Callithrix jacchus: one gene and its partners. The protein of the gene in region 1 interacts with the protein of each later gene in a pairwise test. Links are inferred from orthologs where the notes say so. Each region holds a gene or a part of one and is shown on either strand. Other genes may lie near its edges.

Region 1 (7,906 bases):
ACAAGGGATGTCCTCTGGCCCTGTGGCCCGGCAGTGCCTGAGCTCACCTGGATGTGCTGTGTGGCCACCTGGGACTCCGGCCCTGTGGCCCAGCAGTGCCTGACCTCATGTGGATGGGCTGTGTGGCTGCCTGGGAAGGGATGCCTTGTGGCCTGGCAGTGGCTGACCTCATGTGGATGGGCCATGTGGCTGCCTGGGAAGGGATGCCCTATGGCCTGGCAGTGGCTGACCTCACGTGGATGGGCTGTGTGGCCACCTGGGAAGGGATGCCCTGTGGCCTGGCAGTGGCTGACCTCACGTGGATAGGCTGTGTGGCTGCCTGGGAAGGGATGCCCTGTGGCCTGGCAGTGGCTGACCTCATGTGGATGGGCCGTGTGGCCACCTGGGATTCTGCCTTGCGGGGTTACTTCCTGAACAGGCTCCATGGAGCCCCGTCTCTGAATTTGTGGCCTTAATCCCTGTGGCATATAGAGCTGGCTGCCTGGCTGTACTGTGGACTCACTTGGCCCTTCCTCCACTGTACCCAGCCTCCTCCTGCTCTAGTGGGCTCCCCCGGGACCCCCACCACCCCTCTGCTCCCTGACCTCCACCCTCCTGGGTCCAGCTTCACTGCTGTCTACATAGAGGGCACCACTGTGACTTAATGCCGCCACCCAGCAGGCAGGCCATGCCACCTCCACCCCAGTAACCCCTCCTGTGGCCTATGGCTTGTCAGGCTAACGGGCTCAAAACTGACCTGGTCTCTTCCCCACAAACCTGGTCCTCATGTTGCTAAGTGGCTGCATCCTCATAGCTGCCCAGACCAGCCTCAGAGCCATCCTGGACTCCTGCCTGATGTCCACCTGGCCCTGCTGTCCCTTCACCATACCTGACATCCAGTCAGGGGTCAGACTCCACAGCCGAACTCTGCCACGTCGGCCAAGTCCACCCTGATGTGGCAAGCCGTACCAGCACCCAGGAGATGATGCCCTCCACCCAAGGGAGCCTTCCCAGGAGTTGACCAGTGGCCTTCAGTGTGCCTGGATGTGGCCTGCTGCTCTGCCCTCTCCATGCACCTGCTCCATGATGTGAACTCAGGCAGCACCGCAGTGGGGCGTACGGCAGCTGGTACTTGCTGAGTAGATGGATGAGCCAGATGTGGGCCGTCTGCCAGGTGTGCTAACAGCCTGACCCATGGGCTGGGTCATTGAGAAACAGATTTCGCACAGTTCTGGACACTAGACCTGTGTTTTCACCCAGTTCAACCTGTGGCTGGAATTGCCCCAAAAGTCGTGGCAGGAGGGTTCCCACAAGGGAGTGCCCCACACCATCCTGAGGTGGGGCCGGTTAGGATTCAACAGAAACACTGAGCACACCAGGGTGATGTGCTCAGAGCATTTATCGAGAGCTTCCGTACAGAGCGGACTGCAGCAGTTCTTCCACGGGCAGTGAAATGAATGTTCTCTAGGTATATCCGCGGGGAGGGAGTTGGAGAATGAAGTTTTTATGAGGGTTTAAGAAAGCAGGCTCAGGCTGGGTCCAGTTTCTGTTTTGAGAAACAACCTAGATGCTTTCATCTGTGCCTGGCAACATTCAAGGCTGCTGCGCGGGTTCAGTCTGCAGAGGAAAACATCGCTGCCCAGGTCACAGAGCAGCCAAGGGACTCTTTCTCGGTCAGCGCTGGGAATGAAGTGAAGGGGGAAGCAGGGGGACGCCACAATGTCCAAAACCAGGGTGCCCAGCATGCTGAGGTTCTAGTGAGGGGTCTCTTCCAGACTGCACACTTTCTTCCTACAGGGTCCAGCCCTATAGGGTCCTTTGAGCCCCTCTCTACTGGCGCAGAGATGAGAAACTGGAAATAAAAGACACAAGATGCTGAGATAGAAAAAAGTCTGGGCCCAGGGGTCTACTGCTAACCAGTATACATGGAGACCAGCAGTGGCCCCGAGTGGCTGGACACTCTGACTTTTATTGAGTACAAAGCAGAGGGCCGGGTAGGTAGGGTGAGGCAGTGGCGGTCAGTGATAGGGTCAGGTAAATCACGTGTCTTGGAGATCGGGGCCCAGGTCCTTAAAGTGGAGGAGGCGAGGAGAAAACCTAATGCATCAGCACTTCTTCATACTTGTCGAGAAAGAACAAAGACATTAAAATTTATGTTACTTTTACTCATTCTAATCCAAGAAGAGGAACCAGGTGCAGAAGCGGAACATGAAGGTAGCCATGGAACGTCACCGCTGAGGCACAGCACAGCATAGAGACGGTTAAGCCCCTGAATGTCTGCAGGCCTCCCTGACAGCCACCAGGCCTACCGCAAGAGCTTGCGGGGAGCAGAGTTTTCTCCTAAGTCCTCCAAGGGAGGAGACATGTCAGACGTCTCCTTCCCTAGCTGGCTAAACAGCGGGCGCTTTCCCAGCGCTAATGCTGGCGCTGCCGCACAGCCGAGGTGCCTTCCAGCAGCCCTTAAGCAGGTGTGACAGAGGGCTTAGAGCACCTTGCTCTAGGGTCACCTCTTTCACAATGTTACTTCAGTTCCATGCTTCATGGCCCGAGAATCATCAGCAAAATTAAAAGGTTATATTGAGTATATATATATATGATTACATATGCATATGTGATTATGATTATAGGAATAACTGTGACTATATCGCTAATTCTTTTCTAGTTCAATATTTATATGGGAACAGGCTGAGGCTTCAGAGCCTTCCTTGCCTTGGCCCTTGCGGGGTCTCCCATCCACACCTTCCCGCCGCCTTCACGCAGTGGAAAGCTGCACAAGCCCTTGGAGTCCCTTTAAGAAGGCTCTGCCCTCTTGACCTAGTCACCTCTGAAACACCAGCGCCTTGGGGTGAGGATTTCACATGTGCACATTCAGTTACCGCAGCGGGGACAGGACCAGCTCTGAGGGCGCCTGGGCAGCTGCTTTTTCATCCACAAGTTCACTGGGTAATTCTCAGAAACTGCACAAATCATTAAGGGCATTCCCTTGTTAGGCGCCCCATACGGAATCGCGGCCGGCGGTGACCAACCAGTTGATGGTGTTAGCTAGGCCTGTCTTAGGAGTTTTCTTTCTTTCTTTTTTTTTTTTTTTTTTTTTTAAACGAGACAGGGATCTCATGGGCTCAAGTGATCCTCCCGTAGTCCCGTTGGGACTAAGCGCGCTCCTGTCCTGCCCATTTTAACCTTTTTTTTTTTCCAATTATTGGAGACAGAGTCTCCCTCTGTCGCCCAGGCTGGAGTGCACTGGCGCGATCTCGGCTCACTGCAACCTCCACCTCCCGGGTTCAAGCAATTCTCCTGCCTCAGCCTCCTGAGTAGCTGGGATTACAGGTGTGGACCACCACGCCCAGATAATTTTTGTGTTTTTAGTAGAGACGGGATTTAACGATGTTAGCCAAACTGGTCTGGAACTCCCGACCTCAAGCGATCCGCCCCCCTCGGCCTCTCAAAGTGCTGGGATTACAGGCTTGAGCCACCGCGCCCGGCCCATTTCAATCCTTTTTAAACGTCCAGTTCAAAGTCGTTCCCCCGCCGGGCAGGGCCGGTGCAGCAGTGCGCAGGCGCGCGAGGGCGGTGCATTCCGCCGGGGCCCAGAGCGCTGAGCCGGGACAGTGCGCTGCGCAGGCGCACGGGACGAAGCTGAGCGGGCTCAAGAGTGACGTTACGGCGCGCAACGCGGAGGCGGGGTCGGCCCAGGGTCCGACGGTAGAGGGTAGCGGGTCCGGGGTCTCAGGTCGCCGGCCGCAGGCCACGGTCGCCCCAGCACCATGTTCGGCTCCAGTCGCGGAGGCGTGCGCGGCGGTCAGGATCAGTTCAACTGGGAGGACGTGAAGACTGACAAGCAGCGGGAGAACTACCTGGGTGGGTGGGCGCGGCGGGCGGGCTCCGGGCTCCGGGCTCCCTGGCGGGCGCTGGACTCACGGCGCCTACGTCCGCAGGCAACTCGCTGATGGCGCCCGTAGGCCGCTGGCAGAAGGGCCGCGACCTCACCTGGTACGCCAAGGGCCGGGCGCCGTGCGCGGGCCCGAGCCGCGAGGAGGAGCTGGCAGCCGTGCGGGAGGCGGAGCGCGAGGCGCTGCTGGCCGCGCTGTGAGTGTCGGCGGGCAGCAGCGGGCGGGGCTTGGGACCGCGCGGCGGAGGCTGGTTGGGGCCGGGGGTGAAGGCTGGGGGCCCGGCTGGGCGGGGGCGGAGTTGCGGGGACTCGCTCGGGCGGGGCCCTCAGGACGAAGGCTGGAGTGGTGAGGACGCGTGCTGGGAAGAGATTCACTCCCCTGACGCCTGCCTCGATTTCCTCTCAGTGGCTACAAGAACGTGAAGAAGCAGCCCACGGGCCTGAGCAAGGAGGTAACTCCCCGGGGTGGGGGCGCGTGGAGGGCCGTGGGTGTGGGGCCGTCCCGAGAGCTCCCTTTGCTCCCCCACCTGCAGGACTTTGCGGAGGTCTGCAAGCGGGAAGGAGGCGACCCCGAGGAGAAGGGCGTGGACCGGCTGCTGGGGCTGGGGAGCACCAGGTGTGGGCCGGTTTCGTGGGGAGGGAGGGTCTGTGTGGGCTCGGTTACTCGGGTGAGGCGGGCCCCTGCCGGACTGTCCTGATCGCTGTGTTACTGCAGTGGCTCCGCAGGCCGCGTGGCGCTGTCGCGAGAGGACAAGGAGGCCGCCAAACTGGGGCTGTCTGTGTTCACGGTAACCACCCCCCACCCCTCGCCTGATCGCATCGGGGCCCACAGGGGTGGGACGGGCAGGGCACGGCATGGCACGGAGCTCCCTGGGGCGCTGCGGGGCGTGGTGTGGGGCCGGCCCGCACACTTCTCCCCAGAGCGCGCTTCATCTGCAGCACCACCGCGTGGAGAGCGGCGGGCCCGGGACTTCAGCAGCCTCGGCCAGGAGGAAGCCACGGGCGGAGGTTCAGACTGAAAGCAGGTGAGGCCGCCCCGGGGGATCTCGGGAGGACTGGAGCGGCTCCTAGGCAGGCAGGTGGCAGCTTCTCTTTGCGCACCGGCCTTGGCGGTGGCCTGCCCTACTTTCCTTCCTGTCTCTTACTCCTAGGTTTTTCCCCAGCGGAGTTTCTCGGGTCACCCTTGAAGGGAGGTCCTAAGTAATGGCAGTGGTTGGGGGCTGTGCTGTAGGAGGGCACTCATGACCTGGGCAGGAGCCTTTTTCTGCGTGGGTGGCACCTCGAGGGATTTTCCTGGGTAATGAGCCTGGGCTGTAACCCCAGGAGTGGCCTGTGGGTGCAGGTACGAGGAAGGTGTCACCTTGCAAGGGCACAGCTCAAGTGGAACAGGGCCATGCAGTCGAGATAGGGATATTGCATCTGTCTCAGTGGCCATGTGACTGCGTGACTGAGGAGCGAAATCTGTAATCTCATTTAACTGATTTAAAGATGCATTTGTGGGTGGTGGCTTCATCTCCTGGATGGGACCTGCCTGTGCTCACTCTCTGAGGCGCATTTTGTACCCTCCCAGCTCTGAAAGCCACAGGAAAAGCAAGAAGGAGAAGAAGAAAAAGAAAAAGAAGAAACACAAAAAAGAGAAAAAGAAAGACAGAGACAGGCGACCAGCTGAGGCCGCCACCTCTCCCACATCTCCCGAGAAGTATGCCCTGGCCCATGTCTTGGGGGTAGGGGTTTGGTTGACCCCCACCTCTATGAGTGACTGCCCTTGGTCTTCCCAGGCCCAGGCACTGCCACCATGACTGTGACTCCGACTTCCCCTGCTGCAAGAGGAGGAAGCGGGGACACAGTGGGGACAGGAGCCCATCTTGCAGGCGGCATGACAGACTCTGAAGTCTGATGGTTGGACCCTGCTCACTGCTACTGTGGGAACTGGAACTCTCCCTTCACCTTGCTTGCCTCCTGCCTCAGGAAAGCCCCTTGTGTGGGTGAGACCTGAGGCTGCTCCTGTGGAGTGGCTCTGGGCACCAGCCTGTGGGGTAAAGGCTGCACAGCTAGCTCTGGAGCAGCCAGCTTCCTGGAAGACCTCCAGGTTTCGCACAGCAGGGATGGCCCCTGGCTTGCCCTGCGAAGGTGAGCCTGCCCACAGGTACCCGTAGAGGCTGGACTCCCCGTGTCCTGCTCATGGCTGTAGCAGCCATGGGCCTATGAGCAATCTACCTGTGGCCAAATACGGTGATCTCTATTTTTCCTTACGTTGACTCTATATTTCAATAAATATATTTTAAAAGAAAGGTGTATCATCCTAATTGGAAGGTCAGTATCAGGAGTTAACGAGATCCCAGGATGGAGCTGCGCCCTAATGCTTCGTTAACGTCCAAGAATGCAGTCCTCCCATGGGTGCCCAAAACCCTACCCATACCCAGGGAGGGCTGAGGCCCTGGAAAGGGGTGCTCAGCTGGCAATGTGGGGACCTGGGACAGGTGAGGTCAAGGACTGCAGAGTCTGGAGGGGTAACCTCAGTTGAGTGAGGTTTGGGGACTCTACCTGCCTGCCAAGACCCAGCTGCCTCAACCCTCAGCTCTGCTTCTTCTAGGGCAGTGGGCTAGGTGTCCCGTTTGCCTGACCCTGAGAAGAGTCAGGGCTGTTCAGGACATGTGTGGGCACCTGGACTGGATCACGGCTCACTGCAGTCTCAGAAAACTTCCTTAGGGCCCTGGCCAAGGTGTGGCTCCTGTGGCTTTGACCTCTGCCCTTGCCCTCACATAGCCACTGGAGTGGAGATGGCACTATCTGTCTTGGGCACTGTCAAGGGGGATGAAGGTCGGGCCACCTGGCCAGGACATCCTCACCTTTTGGGACTCTGCCCAACAGAACACAGACCTTGGACCTGCTGATGGCTACACCCCATAGAAGTACCCCCAGACTGGCAGCCCTCTGCTTCATGACATTTTGAGGAGAGGTGGGGGCTGTGCCCACTCAGGCAGGGACCATTCCCCGGCTGGCACAAAGCACCATGTATGCTGGCAGTGGCCCAGCCCCACAGCCAGCAGGCTGATGGGAGGGAGGGAGGCTGAGGTCTTATATAGTGCCTGCTGACTCCTGTCCTGTATGGCCCAGGTCTCACTGGCTGGGCCCAACAGGACTGCAAGCAGAGAGCAGCAAGGTTACTGTGGGCAATCGTGGTGGAAGAGCCTCTCACACAGACACAGGGAAGTTCCTGCACACTCAGGAGAGGGAATGTGGACTCAGGTGGTGGCCCTACGCAGTCACCTGCACTCCTAAAGCTGGCCGCTCCACCCACCGTCTCCTGGGGGCAGTCTGCCTGTGCAGAAACACTGGAGAGCCGGTGAAATAGTTAAGAGATTTTATTCTAATAGCTATAATTACAGTGCTTGTTTGTCGAAATGAAAACTGAAAACAAGTATACAAAACGGTTGATTACCAATCGTGTACTGAAAGCAGTAAGAGGCTCCACGACACCAAACAGACCAGTTCTGAGGTTTCCCCAAGATAAATTTAACAGCTCCAGCTTCTTCAGTGTTTATCAAAATACAAAAGAAAAAAGTAGAGGTTCTTTTTCGATGGCAAATCGGACCCTTGCAGGCTGAGGGAAAGAAAGCTACGTCACACACGGAGGTGGGGTGCTCCCGAGGGGCTGTGGGTCTAGGTGGACCGCCTGCCCGGCTTGCACGCGCTCCTGCTGGTGAGACCCCAGACATCCTGCCAAAGTGTCTGAGCGAGCACGAGCAGTGGGAATGACGGACTCACTCTGGCCACATGCTGACCGAGGGACAGGTGAGGCCCTGTTTCCCACAGGCTGCCTGAAGGTGGGCGGGGCGGCCTGCAGGAGAGTGGGGGCGGTTGTGGGCTCCCAGCCTGGCCCCTGGGAACCATGGGGGCACAAGAACAAGCACATGGCTATGGAATGCAGGGTGACCCAAGGACAAGCGAGTTGCGGGATCTCTATTGTGACCATGCAGAATTGATCGCGGTCTGCCGCGCCACCGCCTCACATTCCCAAGGGGAACAGCCGGGCTG
Region 2 (7,207 bases), on another chromosome or scaffold:
GATCCGCCTGCCTCCACCTCCCAAAGTGCTGGGATTACAGGCATGAGCCACCCTGCTCAGCCTCTCTTTCTTTCTTTTTTTTTTTGGTAGGGATGGGGTCTCACTATGTTGTCTAGACTGTTCTTGAACTCCTGTGCTTAAGATTCTCCCACCTCGGCCTCCCAAAGTGCTGAGATTATAAGTGTGAGCCACTGTGCCCAGCAGCCCGAAATATCTTAATGCTTATTCTATTCTTTATGTTGCCCAGGCTGGTTTTGAACTCCTCGGCATAAGCAGTCCTTTGGCTTCGGCCTCCCAAAGTGCTGAGATTACAGGCGTGAGCCACCGCGCCCAGCCTTCTTATCTTTCTTCTTGATGCTTTTGGATGGTCTTCAATATCTCTTTGATTCTCTACTTTTCTTTAGGTTTATTCCCGAGCCAATGAACAGGAACCTTGTGGCTGGTGGCTGGCCCGGGTGCGGATGATGAAGGGAGATGTGAGTGAATGGGAATGCCTTTGGAACACTACTGAAACAAATATTTTATTAATAGAAAGTTGCTCAGGTCATCCACAACTTCTCCTTTTTTACCGTATACCAGTTCTATGTCATTGAATATGCTGCCTGTGATGCCACCTACAATGAAATTGTTACCTTGGAGCGACTTCGGCCAGTTAATCCCAATCCCCTTGCAACCAAAGGCAGCTTCTTCAAGGTTACCATGGCTGTGCCCGAGGATCTGAGAGAGGCGTGAGTGTTAAGGATGGTGGGAACGAGGGCCCTCTTGACAGTCCTAATCTCTGGCTTGATTTCTCCCAGACCTCACTCCCACTTTGCAGTTTTCTCTGTTGTTCCCCTGGCCCTCTAGAACCCTTCTTGCTAAGAAGACACTCAGTTCCTTTATTTTTCCATCCTTGTTCTTTAACTGTGGTCCCTCTTTTTTTTTTTTTTTGAGACGGAGTTTCGCTCTTGTTACCCAGGCTGGAGTGCAATGGCGCGATCTCGGCTCACCGCAACCTCCGCCTCCTGAGTTCAGGCAATTCTCCTGCCTCAGCCTCCTGAGTAGCTGGGATTACAGGCACGCACCACCATGCCCAGCTAATTTTTTGTATTTTTAGTAGAGATGGGGTTTCATCATGTTGACCAGGATGGTCTCGATCTCTTGACCTCGTGATCCACCCGCCTCAGCCTCCCAAAGTGCTGGGATTACAGACTAGAGCCACCACGCCTGGCCCCTCTTCTTTTCTGAGCCCTGCTCTTTCTTCTCTGAATTTTTTTTTTTTAAATAGAGACAGGGTCTCACTATGTTGCCCATGCTAGTCTTAAACTTGTGGCCTTAAGTGATCATCCTGCCCTAGCCTCCCAAAGTGCTAGGATTATAGGCTCAAGCCACCATGCCCAACCTCCCCTGAATTCTTCACTCTTCTGCATTCTGCCCTCTGAGTACTTTTTTTCTCTGCAGCTGCTCCAATGAAAACGTCCATAAAGAGTTCAAGAAAGCCCTGGGAGCCAACTGCATCTTTCTCAACATCACAAATAGTGAGCTCTTCATTCTGGTGAGTTTATTCTGCCTGAATTTCTTTTCTTTTTTTCTTTTTTTTTTGAGACCAAGTCTCACTTTGTCACCCAGGCTGGAGTGTGGTGGCTCCATCTCTGTTCACTGCAACCTCTGCTGCCCTGGTTCAAGTGATTCTCCTGCCTCAGTCTCCCAAGTAGCTGGGATTACAGGCTCCTGCCACTGTGCCCAGATAATTTTTGTATTTTTAGTAGAGATGGGTTTTCACCATCTTGGCCAGGCTGTTCTTGAACTCCTGACCTCATGATCCACCCGCCAAAGTGTTGGGATTACAGGTGTGAGCCACCTCGCCCAGCCTATTTTGCCTGAATTTCACACAAGCCCTTTGAACATTTTTTCCCCCTTTTAACCCCTATGCAGAAAGGGAAGGGCTTAAATGTGCTTACATTTATTTGTCAGAGAGGACTTTATTTTTCCTGATTCCTAGAGGCCCAGGTAGCCTTACCTTTCTTTAGTTTTCCTCATGTATGAGCTTTTTTAAAAACATGATAATCCTGTTGCCATCTGGGTTGGGGAACCTCTCTTGATATTTGGACTTTCAAAAAGTATATAGCTCTCACCTTACAGTTGCTCCTTGCTTTCTATTTTTATTTTTATTTTACTTATTTATTTATACATTTTTTGAGATGACGTTTCGCTGTTGTTGCCCAGGCTGGAGTGCAGTGGTGCGATCTCAGCTCACCGCGACTTCTGCCTCCCGGGTTCAAGAGATTCTCCTGTCTCAACCTCCCAAGTAGCTGGGATTACAGGCATATGCCACCATGCCTGGCTAATTTTGTATTTTTAGTAGAGACGGGGTTTCTCCATGTTGGTCAGGCTGGTCTTGAGCTCCTGACCTCAGGTAATCTGTCTGCTTCTGCCTCCCAAAGTGCTTGGATTATAAGCGTGAGCCACTGCACCTGTCCTGCTCTTTGTTTTCTCTCTAAAACCACTTTCCTTTGGTACCCCGATAATGAGCCTTTGTGGGACTCCCCCTTCCTAGCTTCATTTCTTTTTGTTTTGTTTTGTGACAGAGTCTTGCCCTGTCATCCAGGCTGGAGTGCAATGGCATATTCTCTCAGCTCACTGCAACCTCTGCCTCCCGGGTTTAAGCGATTCTCCTGCCTCAGCCTCCTAAGCAGCTGGGATTACAGGCCCATGGCACTACACCTTGCTAATTTTTGTATTTTTAGTAGAGTTGGGGTTTCACCATGTTGGTCAGGCTGGTCTCAGACTCCTGACCTTGTGATCTACCTGCGTTTGTCTCCAAAGTGCTGGGATTACAGGCGTGCGCCACTGCGCCTGGCCTCCTAGTTTAATTTCTTAACCCTTTTCCAGGGATTTAGGACTGATTCCTGGTCCCTGCCTCTCCTGCAGTATTCCAAGCCAGTTTTCGTGACTTTCCCATTGGTTTCCTCCTAGTCAACCACAGAAGCCCCTGTGAAGCGGGCATCTCTGCTGGGTGATATGCATTTCCGAAGCCTGCGCACCAAACTATTACTAATGTCCCGCAATGAAGAAGCTACCAAGCACCTAGAGGTAATTGTTAGCTCCTTTTCCTCCTGCTGAAGGGTATTGTCTTCCTCTCTTCCTACCCTGTCTTCCACCCATGCTCTTGTGTTTACAGGATAAAGAGTTTTTTACTGGGCAATTAAACGTGGGTCAGCTATTTTATCTCAGACTCCTCCAGATGACAGAGCTCTGTCATGTCATAGTGAAATTATTTTCAAATTTCTTTTAGCCAAATTATTTTTTTAAGACAGAGTCTTGCTGTGTTGCCTAGGCTGGAGTGCAATCTTGGCTCACTGCAACCTCCACCTTCCGGGTTTAAGCTGTTCTCATGCCTCAGCCTTCTGAGTTGCTGGGATTACAGGCGTGGACCACCGTACTCTGCTAAGTTTTATGTTTTTAGAGGAGATGGGGTTTCTCCATGTTACCCATGCTGGTCTCAAACTCCTGGCCTCATGTGATTCACCCATCTTGTCCTCCCAAAGTGCTAGGATTACAGGCGTGAGCGCCACACCTGGCCGATGGTACCCTCTTCGATGAAGTGAAATGTTACTTGGAAGCACAGTGCATAAAATGAATCAGAGCAGCTCTGTCTAAAAGTGGAAAGGGGGCATGACTCTTACTTCTACCAATACCCCTAAATCACCTCTGGAAACCAAACTGCTCTGCAGGATATATTTGAGAACCATTTGGTTTAAAAAAAAAAAAAAAAAAAGAAATATGAATGTCATTTGAATATGAGGTAGACATTTAAAAAAGAGAGAGAACTAGCCGGGCGCGGTGGCTCACACCTGTAATCCCAGCACTTTGGGAGGCCGAGGCGGGTGGATCATGAGGTCAAGAGATCGACACCATCCTGGTCAGCGTGGTGAAACCCCGTCTCTACTAAAAATACAAAAAATTACTTGGGCATGGTGGCGCTTGCCTGTAATCCCAGCTACTCAGGAGGCTGAGGCAGGAGAATTGCCTGAATCCAGGAGGCGGAGGTTGCGGTGAGCCGAGATCGCGCCATTGCACTCCAGCCTGGGTAACAAGAGCGAAACTCCGTCTCAAAAAAAAAAAAGAGAGAGAACCATTTGGACAATGGGAAACCACTGGACTTGGAATGCTAAGTCTTGTCATATAATTGTCTTTTGGCAAATACATTTCATTACACTGAGATTTATCTTCTTCCTCTGTGACAGTGAGGTCAGTAGGCTAGATTGTTTCTTTTTAAAAAATTTTATATTTAATTTTTTTCCTATTGGTTCATTCTCACAACTTAATAGATAAACTAGAACATTTCTTTTTTTCATTTTTTTTTTTTTAAGATGGAGTTTCTCTCTTGTTGCCCAGGCTGGAATGCAGTGGTGCAATCTCGGCTCACTGTTGGAACCTCTGCCTCCTGGGTTCAAGCCATTCTCCTGCCTCAGACTCCCAAGTAGCTGGGGTTACAGGCGTGTACCACCACACCCTGCTAATTTTTGTGTTTTTTTAGTGGGGACAAGGTTTTGCCACATTGGCCAAGCTGGTCTCAAACTCCTGACCTCAGGTGATCTGCCCACCTTGGCCTCCCAAAGTGCTGGCATTATAGGAGTGAACGACTGCTCCCCGCCTCATTTTTTTCCCCTTTGAGACAGGGTCTCACTCCCATTACCCAAGCTGGAGTAACATGGCTCATTGCAGACTTGACTTCCTAGGTTCAGGTGATTCTCCCACCTCTCCCTCCATAGTAGTTGGGATTACATGTGTGCGCCACCATGCCCAGCAATTTTTTTTTTATTTTTAGAGGGAGTTTCACTCTGTTGCCCAGACTGGAGTGCAGTGGCACAATCTTGGCTCACTGCAACCTTTGCCTCCCCGGTTCTAGTGATTCTCCTGCCTCAGCCTACCAAGTAGCTGGAGTTACAGGTGTCAAGCACCACACCCAGCTAATTTATATATATATATATATATATATATATATATATATATATATTTTTTTTTTTTTTTTTTTTAAATTTTTATTATCATTATTTTTTATTTTAAAGACAGAGTTTCACCCTGTTAGCCAGGATGGTCTTGATCTCCTGACCTTGTGATCTGCCCGTCTTGGCCTCCCAAAGTGCTGGGATTACAGGCTTAAGCCACCACGCCTGGTAATTTTTGTATTTTTAGTAGAGATAGGGTTTCACCATGTTTTCCAGGCTGGTCTCAAGGTCCCGACCTCAAGTGATCTGCACCTTGGCCTCCCAAAGTGCTGAGATTATTGGCATGAGCCTCCGTGCCCAGCCTTGCTGTGTTGCCCAGGCTGAATGTAGTGGCATGATCTTGGCTCACTGCAACCTCCGCCTCCTGAGTTCAAGCAATTCTCCCGCCTTAGCCTCCCAAGTAGCTGGGATTACAGGCACCTGCAACCATGCCCGTCTAGTTTTTGTATTTTTAATAGAGACAGGGTTTCACTATGTTGGCCAGGCTGGTCTCACACTGCTGACCTCAGGTGATCCACCACCTCCCAGAGTGCTAGGATTACATGCGTGAGCCACCGCACCTGGCCAGTATTTTGTATTTTTAATAGATATGCGATTTCGCCATATTGCCCAGGCTGGTCTTGAACTTCTAGGCTCACTCTTGAACTTCTAGGCTCACTGCTAGAATTACAGGTGTGAGCCACCACACCCAGCCTAAATATTTCTTTTTTAGGCAGGGGTAGTGGCTCACACCTATAATCCCAGCACTTGAGTGCTTTGGGAGGCCGAGGTGGGTGAATCACCTGAGGTTGGGAGTTCGAGACCAGCCTGGCCAGCATGGTGAAACCCCATCTTTACTAAAAAGATAAAAATTAATTAATGGGGCATAGTGGCGGATGCCTATAATTCCAGCTACTCGTGAGGTTGAGGCAGGAGAATTGCTTGAACCCAGGAAGTGAAGGTTGTGGTGAGCTGAGATTGCGCCATTTCATTACAGCCTGGGTAACAAGAGAAAAACTCAATCTCACAAAAAAAAAAAAGAATTTTTACTTTTTTATTTTGTGAGATAGCATCTCTTGTCACCCAGGCTGGAGTGCAATGGTACTATCTTGACTTATTGCAACCTCTACCTCCCAGGTTCAAGCAATTATTCTGCCTCAGCCTCAAGAGTAACTGGCTTTACAGGCATGCACCACTACACCCAGCTAATTTTTATATTTTTGGTAGAGACGGGGTTTCAACATGTGGTCAGGCTGGTCTCGAACTCTGGATCTCAGGTGATTTGCCCACCTTGACCTCCCAGAGTCCTGAGATTATAGGCGTGAGCCACCATGCCTGGCCTGACTAGAGTATTTCTATGATATCTTTTTGAATTCTGACATCTTAAAACTATCAGATTCCCTTTTTCCTTGGTGTTATACTATTCTAAGTGAATAGGGTGTGTGTGTTTGAATATCCATTTCCATTTATCAAGTGAATTGATCTTGTTGGGCAGCTTTTCTCTGCACCTTTGCAAATTCTGGGTCATGATAATCTTTGGCTTCTTCAGGGATCCTGCTCAGGATTCCTGGTACTAGTGGGTAAAAGCTTACCATTACCCTCAGATGATGCAAACTTTATTTTTTGTTTTGGGAAGGAGTCTCGCTCTGTTGTCCAGGCTGGAGTGTAGTGGAGCAATCTGCAATCTCCACCTCCCAGGCTCAAGTGATGATAAGTGATCTTCCCACCTCAGCCATTGGGTAGGTGGGATTACAGGTGCAAGCCACCACACCCGGCTATTTTTTTTTTTTTTTTGAGACAGAGTTTTCCTCTGTGTCACCCAGGCTGAAGTGCAATGGCACAATCTTGGCTTACTGCAACCTCCCTGTAATTCTTTTGCCTCAGCCTCCCAAGTAGCTGGGATTATAGGCTCATGCCACCAAGTCTGGCTAATTTTTACTTTTTCAGTAGAGACGGGGTTTCACCATGTTGCCCAGGCTGGTTTTGAACTCCTGACCGCAGGTGATCCACCTGCCTCAGCCTCTGAAAGTACTGGGATTACAGGCGTGAGCCACCACACCCGGCCTGATACAAACTTTTATCTGCTTCAGTTTCCAATGTGTAGGTTTTCTGATTGACAAAAGGTAGAATATTTAGCTGTCCTAGGACTTACTCTATTGATCTGTCTGGTAAAGTGTACCAAATAAACTAAACATAGCCATAGGTGCAGTCTTTTTTTGTTTGTTTAATTTTATATT
Region 3 (7,207 bases), on another chromosome or scaffold:
AAAAAACAATTGCTTATTTAGCTGTTCATCTCAAGACTGGTCCATTCCAAAAAATGAGACAAGGCAGCAGACAAAAACATTCAACATGATAGAATGACATAAATAGAAGAGCAAATCAGGCTAAAAGGAAAATTAAGGAAAGAAATACAAAGTCAGGAGAAAGTCCCAAAAACATGTCCTACCATTCTGTATAGTTGCTACGGAGGTAAGCTGCAAATATGACATCTGAGCTCCCTGAGAGACAAAGCAAAGAGGAAAATTACTTCATTATTTGTTATATTATTAACAACGGCAACAAAAAGATAAGACTTGAACCAGTTGCTCACAAGAACAGCTATTTCAGGTTTTTAAGTGTATGAAAAATGACTCATATGGCTCTACAGAAAAGGAACTCCATGGTGCAGTGAATAGAAATACCTGACATTATCCTTTCAAAGTGTCCAAAAACACGTTTCATCTTGACTCCTTCTTATATCTCACAATGAAGAGCCAAAGCATAAGCTGGCAAAAGCCCATTTTTCCAGAGACCACACCCGGACACTGCCCAGGACACTGATAATGGAGAGCTATTCCTGCCCCTTTTCTCTAAAAGTGGGAGGCATTCGCAGAGAGCAAAGAAAACTGGGAGGAGCATAAGGATTAGTCATTTAGATGTATAATCATCTAGTCTACAGAAATCAAGAGCACTTTGCAACCAAACAGATTTGAATTCAATTTGATTTAGAGGCAAACAGATGTGGGTTCACATCTTCTACCAGCTCTGTTGGGCAAAGTGCATCACCTCTCTGTGCTTCTGTTTCTCCATCTATGAAGCGAAATTGCTAATAGTACCTAACCCTAAGATGTGTTGAGGATTAACTGAAATAATGAACACAAATCGTTGGTTCAGTCTGGCAGATAATACAATATGTCACAGTCATAGCGTCCTGTTTAATTGGTACTTAGCATAGGTGCCAATATGCTAAGTGATTTACCTGAATATACTCATTCAATTTACAATTGTATAGGGAAAGAACTATTATTACCTGCATTTTACGGACACGAAAACTTGCCCAGAGAAGCGAAATCATCTGCCAACGTCACACAGCTAGTAAGCGGCCAGGGTAGTAAGCACAAAATAGAAGTTGTTGGTATTATTCTTAACCACTCGTGGGGAGGGGCTTTCACTCTTTGATCTGGGCCCAGTTCCTCTGCCTGGTTTCCAGAAAGAAAAAGATCACCGCCCAGGACCCACTGAATAAAGCACAAGCCTTCTTGAATGACCCAGGCGGACACTTAGCAGGCTCCTCAGAGGCTGTTACCTCTCCCCCAGGTCCTACTCCCGCTCTCCCAGCTATTCCTCCAAGTCTGGCAAGAGGAGCCCACCCAGCAGAAGCTCTCGGTCCCGCCGCAGTCCCAGCTACTCCCGCTACAGTCCCAGCAGGTACCGGCCCCGCCCCTGGCGCTGGTCCCGCCCCTCAAGCTAGGCCCGCCCTAGGCTCCACCCCTTTGCGCTGATTCTCCTCTCTGGCCCCGCCTCCTCGTCCTCGGGCCTTCTACCTCTTAGGTCTGACCCTGACTCAGCATTCTTGCAGGTGCCTTTGCCCAGTCAGGAGTGGCAGCCAGGCGCCAAATATATCCTTGTTTCCTAATGTCTCCAGCCCAAACACTCCTACAGACACACACACCCCAATTCACATGCCCAGCCCTCAGCCTCTACCCACCATCACTCTATTCAGAGCCCCCAGTCCTTACCCAAGCACCAAGGCCCACGTAACATTCACGTCCTCAAACCCCTGCGACACCTGCACCGCTGTGATGCCCACCTGCAAAGGCTGACACCCCTGCACGCGCCCAGCCCCCACCCCTACGGTACTAACCCTCGCAGACTTTTCCCGCAGTCCCGTCATCCTCCTTTCCGTCACCCTCCTTCCCGTCTCGCGTGCGGCTCCATGCAGATCCCATCCCCTGACCCAGTGGGGTGGGAAAGAAAGAAAGTGAGTGTCCCTCTCCCACGAGCTCACGCAGAAAATCCAGCCCAGCCCTAGCTCCCCAGTAACCCCCAGCGCCCCTTCAGGGAGCGGGATCCCAAATACAGCGAGAAGGACTCGCAGCAGCGGGAGCGCGAGCGAGCGCGTCGGAGACGTCGGTCCTACTCGCCCATGAGGAAGCGCCGGAGAGACTCCCCGAGCCACCTGGAGGCCCGGAGGATAACCAGGTAAGGCCAGGGGGCGGGGGGGTCCCACCTTCACCCTCGTTCCACCCCCATTCTTACTCATTTGAGCCTCAGGCTCTCCCTAGGCCTGCTTGGGTCTGGGATTCAGGATGGTGGAAGCTTAAGGTCCCCCAATCCCAACATAATTGAAATTATATGTCTGTTCGAAGCCTCGGGACTGAGTCTCCCATCTCAACCAGCAGGGCCTACCAGAAGAGGACGGGGTGGGGGGTGGGCCACAGGCGGGGCCACCCTGAAGATCCAGTGTGGTCTGGGGGTGTGGTCGAGGCCTGGGGGTGGAGCTGGGGCCGGGGAGGCCGAGCTGGGAGAGAGTGGCGTCAGGCCAGGGAATGGAGGCCAGTCAGTGGGGTAGGACCTTGGCCTCCTAGTGGATCCCGGGCAGTGGAGACAGAGCCTCAGACCTGTACACTCAGCTGTCAGGCTTAAATAAACCTGTATGTAATTATACCTTGAATCAAGTGAGGGGAGGGGTAACAGGATTGCTGGGATGCCAAAAGTACCTTGAGGGAGCCACGGTGGATGAGCCAGAGAGCACTGGATGTGGAGTGGAATCCTGGATGTGCCTCTTTGCAGGTGACCTGGGAAAGGTTCTTACCTTCCTGAGTCTTTTTCTCACCCATGAGATAGTGGAGGAAATAACTCCCAGAAGTATCATAACGATGAAATGAAAAGGGGCAAAAAGATGTGAGCATGCTTTGTAAACTTAAATGCAGAGCACACAATGTGCCATTGTTGTTGATTGAGTGGTCAGAATAGGTGGATATGTTTCCTGGAACAAGTAAGGCCTCAGAAGAGAAGAGCTCTCGCAGAGAAATCTGAGCGCAAGCAAATTTCTTAGGCCTTGAAAGCTGGGAAAATAGCTGAATACTGCCCTAAGATTGGGTTGGGCTCTTGTTTCTGGTCTTCCAAGGATCTGCCACTCAGGCCAGAGATTGGACTGAGGAATCAGGGATCCTCCCTGGAGATGACTTGGAGGAGGAAAAAGAATGTGTGCCCCAGATAGCAAGACTAGAGTGATGGAGTCCCCTTCTCAAATATCTTGCAGACCACCCTGCCTCAGCTTGTAACCCTTGGGAGGCAGAGGTGGGCAGATTGCTTGAGATCAGGAGTTTTAGACCTGCCTGGGCAACATGGCAAGACTCCTTATCTACCAAAAACATAAAACACTAGCCAGGCATGGTAGTGTGCACCTGTGGTCCCATCTACACCAGAGTCTGAGGTGGAAGGATCATTTGGCCCCAAGGGTGAAGGTTGCAGTGAGCTGAGATTGCGCTACTGCATTCCAACCTGGGTGACAGAGCAAGACACTGTCTGCAAAGAATATAATTAATATAATATATATAATTCCTAAACCCACTTCCTTGATCCAACGTCACACGTAAGTGGCCAGGATAGTAAGCACAAAATGGAAGTTGTTGGTATTATTATTATCTATGGGATCAGCCTGGAGGAGAGCTAAGACAGAGTGGCATTTCCAAAAGGCTGTCTAGTTTCTTTAGTCAATCTCAAATAATTCGTCTTGATTAACCCATTCAGTGTTTCCCAATTTTCAGTCATTCAGCAGCATCTTTACCACGTATGCCTTGTCTGCTTATCAACTGTACTATTCTTAATTTTCTTTAAATAGATATGACCCTTTTAAAAGGTTCATACATTTATTTCTAAAGGAAACGATATGCTACAGTAAGTGGAAAATTAGCCTCTTTTGCCATAAATAGATGGTTCTAGTAAAAGTAAAAATAGCAAAACAAAACTATGATTAAAGTTTAGATGTAGATTCTGTTGCAAGCTGGAGGCTTTGAGCCCCAGGCTTGCTTCATGGGGGAAGAAAAGAGTGAGATAATCGTTTTTCAAGACTAGCACTAAGCTGAGACTTTTTACTTTGATGTGTTCTTAGGACCGCAAGAGAACTGGAAAAGGAGGATTTTTTCGGAAGGGACTGGGAAAAGGGAGGATACTGGTTTCCCTTAGGACAAGACTGGGGCTCTGTGCGGGAAGGCTGGGAGGGACCGGCCCTCATCCCTCCTCTCTCTGCTCTCTGCAGTGCCCGGAAACGCCCCATCCCCTACTATCGGCCCAGCCCCTCTTCATCCGGCAGCCTCAGCAGCACCTCCTCCTGGTACAGCAGCAGCAGTAGCCGCTCGGCCAGCCGCAGCTACTCCCGGAGCCGGAGCCGGAGCCGGAGCCGGAGCCGGAGCCGGAGTCGGAGCCGGAGCCGGACCCGCACAAGCAGCAGCTCTAGCTCCCGCAGCCCCAGCTTGGGCTCCCGCAGCCGGAGCCGGAGCAGGAGTCGGAGCCGGAGCCGGAGCAGGAGCCGGAGCTACAGCTCAGCAGGCAGCTACTCCAGCACGAGGCGCTAAATGCCCCTGAGCCAGCTGCCCGTGGGGGCCCCTTCGCGCTGCCAGCCTCCCCCAACCACCTGCCCTCCCCACCTTCTCCTTGGTAACAGATAGTGAGGGCTCCTATACTTGTCCTTCCTGCTTGCCTGGGGGAAGAGGAGAAGAGGGTACGGGGGCTTCACCCTCCAGGTCAAGCTGCTAGGAGCCTCTACCAGCACCATCCTGGGGCCCAGCTCAGGCCTGGGCCTACGGAGAGAACCATCCTCTTGTGGCACAAAAAGAAAAGGAAAGAAAACCTCAAGGTTTTGTAAGAAACAATGGGTCCGTGACTCAGAAATTGAGCCCTGGCCAGGAAAATGTGGAGACCGTTCTCCTCACCCACTGCTCACAGGAGGCCCATGGGAATTCTCCCCACCTCCCTCGATGCTCCCCTCCTCCAACCTCATGGCTGCACGTGGATGGACCCCCATGTCGGAGAGTTGTGGAAGAGGTGATCAGTGGCAGTTCAGGTTCAAGTTAAGGGGGTCAAGCCTGTAACTTCCTCAAACAGGCCAGAGCAAAGGCTGGAAGACACCTGGGTCCTAGAAGAAGAGATATCCTTGAATACCAGACATGGACATTTGACTTGGTGGGAGGTGTCAGGAGATAGGAGATGGGTTCTCTGGTTATGACGATAGATAGCAAAAATGGAAGGGGTCAGTCTGCTGCTCCCAATATCTCAGCACGGTCAGGGCGCAGGGCCCAGCAGATCCCAGCCATGGAGAGGCCACCGTATGGCTGACACAAAACACCTCTTGGCCATTTACAGGGGCCCTGCAACCTCATAAGAAAGGAGATAGTGGGAGAGTCAGGACAGGTTGGTCTCCAGCCCCACTTCCCAAATACGCCTCAGCCCCACTAGCTGGCACCAATTTAATTCCACGGGACCATCTGCTGAATATTCCCCAATGCCATGGCTGGTTGCCAGGCCCCAGCGCCAGCCAGTCTGGCCATACCCTCCAGTGGGTGCCTGCCAGCCCTCTCCCCTCTGCCCTGGCTGCCTTGCCCTGGATGCCACCCAGTGCAGCCTGGCACTTACCCACCCACCTTTCAGGTTATGCCACTCCCCTTGCCTCTCAGGAATTTTGCCAGGATGGGACACAGCAGCTCAGGTTTGGGGGAAAAGACCCAAATCCAGAGTCCAGGGGAGAGGGGCTTGGATGTGCCCTGTCTTGGGCTCCTGCTGGCTTCTGAGGTTTTTTGCCAGCTTGGGAAAGACTCACCTTTATTTCTGCCCTCACCCCAAGTTCCCCCTGCCCGGGGCTGGGCAGAGAGGGTAAGCTGATCTCTGATACACAAATACCACCAGCTGCTTCATCCACAGAAGGCTCTAAGAACAGGGAGGTGAGGAATAAGATCCTTAAAATAAACTCTTGGGCATCCCCCTCACCAGCTGACTGGCTTTCCGGAGGCTTGTGGGTGAGTTTCAAGTTTGTGGTGGCAACAGCAATGGGACAGGGCATGGAGGGAGCCAGGGAGAGAGGACAGATCCAGCTTTTGGATATTTTGGGTTACGGGGAAGCAGGGACCAAACATTCTTTATCCCTCCCACCCCAGGGAAAAGATTTGGAAAACAGTCCTTTCTCTTGGAAGCAGTGACCTCTCCCCTACCCAATCTTTCCCATCCTATCAACCCACGAGGTTAGAGACAGCCATGCAGCCACCACCACGACAGTCCTTCCTCCATCAGGAGAGAGGATCAAGGCCCCCAGGCAGCAGTGGATGACCGGCCTTCCCTCGCCAGGCCTCTGGCCCAGACCTAAGCCCCACCCACAAAGACTAATGGTTGCCAATGCTGTCACCGCAGAAGGCCAGATGGCAGGTGACTGGGACAGGGGCAGGTGCCCTGGGGAGGGCATGTACAGCCACTGTAAATAACCCTCGTCCCTACCCAGGAACCCAGACTGGACTTCAGTCTCCCTCCATGGAGACAAAGGCTTCCCGGAGCCACCAAAAACCTTAGCAGGACAGCTGTGAGAGGCAACGGAGCCTCGCCTTTGGACTGCCTTCATCGAGACAACTCTAGGGGACCATTTTGCCTAGGGCTCCTAGCAAACCTTTTTATTTATTTTATTTATTTGTCTGTTTGTTTATTTATTTATTTATGTGATGACTGGCTCTCTCTCACCATTAGCAGTATTTAATTAATTATTTATTTATACAGAGCGGGTATGTTTGTGTGTGTGTGTGTGTGTGTGTGTGTGTGTGTGTGTGTTGGGGGGGGTCTCCTCCTAAATTATTTTTGTGCATCTCTCTTTTTTCCTCCTGTTTTTACGGATGGGGTTTGAGAAGCCAAAGGTGGCTGGGCTATTGGCTTTCTCCCTGAAGGCTCTAAGCCTGGAACACCCTGGAGTTGGCCCAGAAGGAGGCACATCTGTCCCAAGGTTCATCACTTAACCCAGAGTCCAGGAGAGTCAGGCCTGTGCCCCAGCCTCCTGTCCCCCAGATACCTCCCTGGGGAATCAAAAAGATGGAAACAACCCAGAGGCTTATGAGCTATGGCAATGAATTGACATAGTGGAGTTGCAACGTGGGCGGAGGTCAGAGTTGAAAGTTGGCACATGGGGCCAAGGCTGCCCAAAGTCGAAATCCCTTGTGAACGTCCCTTAGGGAG

The links.
Region 2: the proteins of C19H1orf35 (region 1) and FXR2 interact in binary tests that used the Homo sapiens proteins (3 or more experiments, as listed by UniProt). The two-hybrid records come from large-scale screens. The link is inferred for Callithrix jacchus from reciprocal best matches to the Homo sapiens genes C1orf35 and FXR2.
Region 3: the proteins of C19H1orf35 (region 1) and SRRM4 interact in binary tests that used the Homo sapiens proteins (3 or more experiments, as listed by UniProt). The link is inferred for Callithrix jacchus from reciprocal best matches to the Homo sapiens genes C1orf35 and SRRM4.

The regions. Positions count from the first base shown.
Region 1 is NC_133520.1:38,923,688-38,931,593, reverse strand, and holds C19H1orf35 (multiple myeloma tumor-associated protein 2), read left to right. Parts: upstream 1-3,653; 5' UTR 3,654-3,743; coding exon 3,744-3,837; intron 3,838-3,914; coding exon 3,915-4,065; intron 4,066-4,274; coding exon 4,275-4,320; intron 4,321-4,401; coding exon 4,402-4,484; intron 4,485-4,583; coding exon 4,584-4,656; intron 4,657-4,807; coding exon 4,808-4,893; intron 4,894-5,438; coding exon 5,439-5,567; intron 5,568-5,646; coding exon 5,647-5,758; 3' UTR 5,759-6,159; downstream 6,160-7,906.
Region 2 is NC_133506.1:74,095,277-74,102,483, reverse strand, and holds part of FXR2 (RNA-binding protein FXR2), read left to right. Parts: intron 1-404; coding exon 405-476; intron 477-579; coding exon 580-728; intron 729-1,440; coding exon 1,441-1,534; intron 1,535-2,955; coding exon 2,956-3,072; intron 3,073-7,207. UniProt on the Homo sapiens protein: mRNA-binding protein that acts as a regulator of mRNAs translation and/or stability, and which is required for adult hippocampal neurogenesis. Specifically binds to AU-rich elements (AREs) in the 3'-UTR of target mRNAs.
Region 3 is NC_133510.1:122,264,351-122,271,557, forward strand, and holds part of SRRM4 (serine/arginine repetitive matrix protein 4), read left to right. Parts: intron 1-1,312; coding exon 1,313-1,423; intron 1,424-2,056; coding exon 2,057-2,197; intron 2,198-4,259; coding exon 4,260-4,575; 3' UTR 4,576-7,207. UniProt on the Homo sapiens protein: Splicing factor specifically required for neural cell differentiation.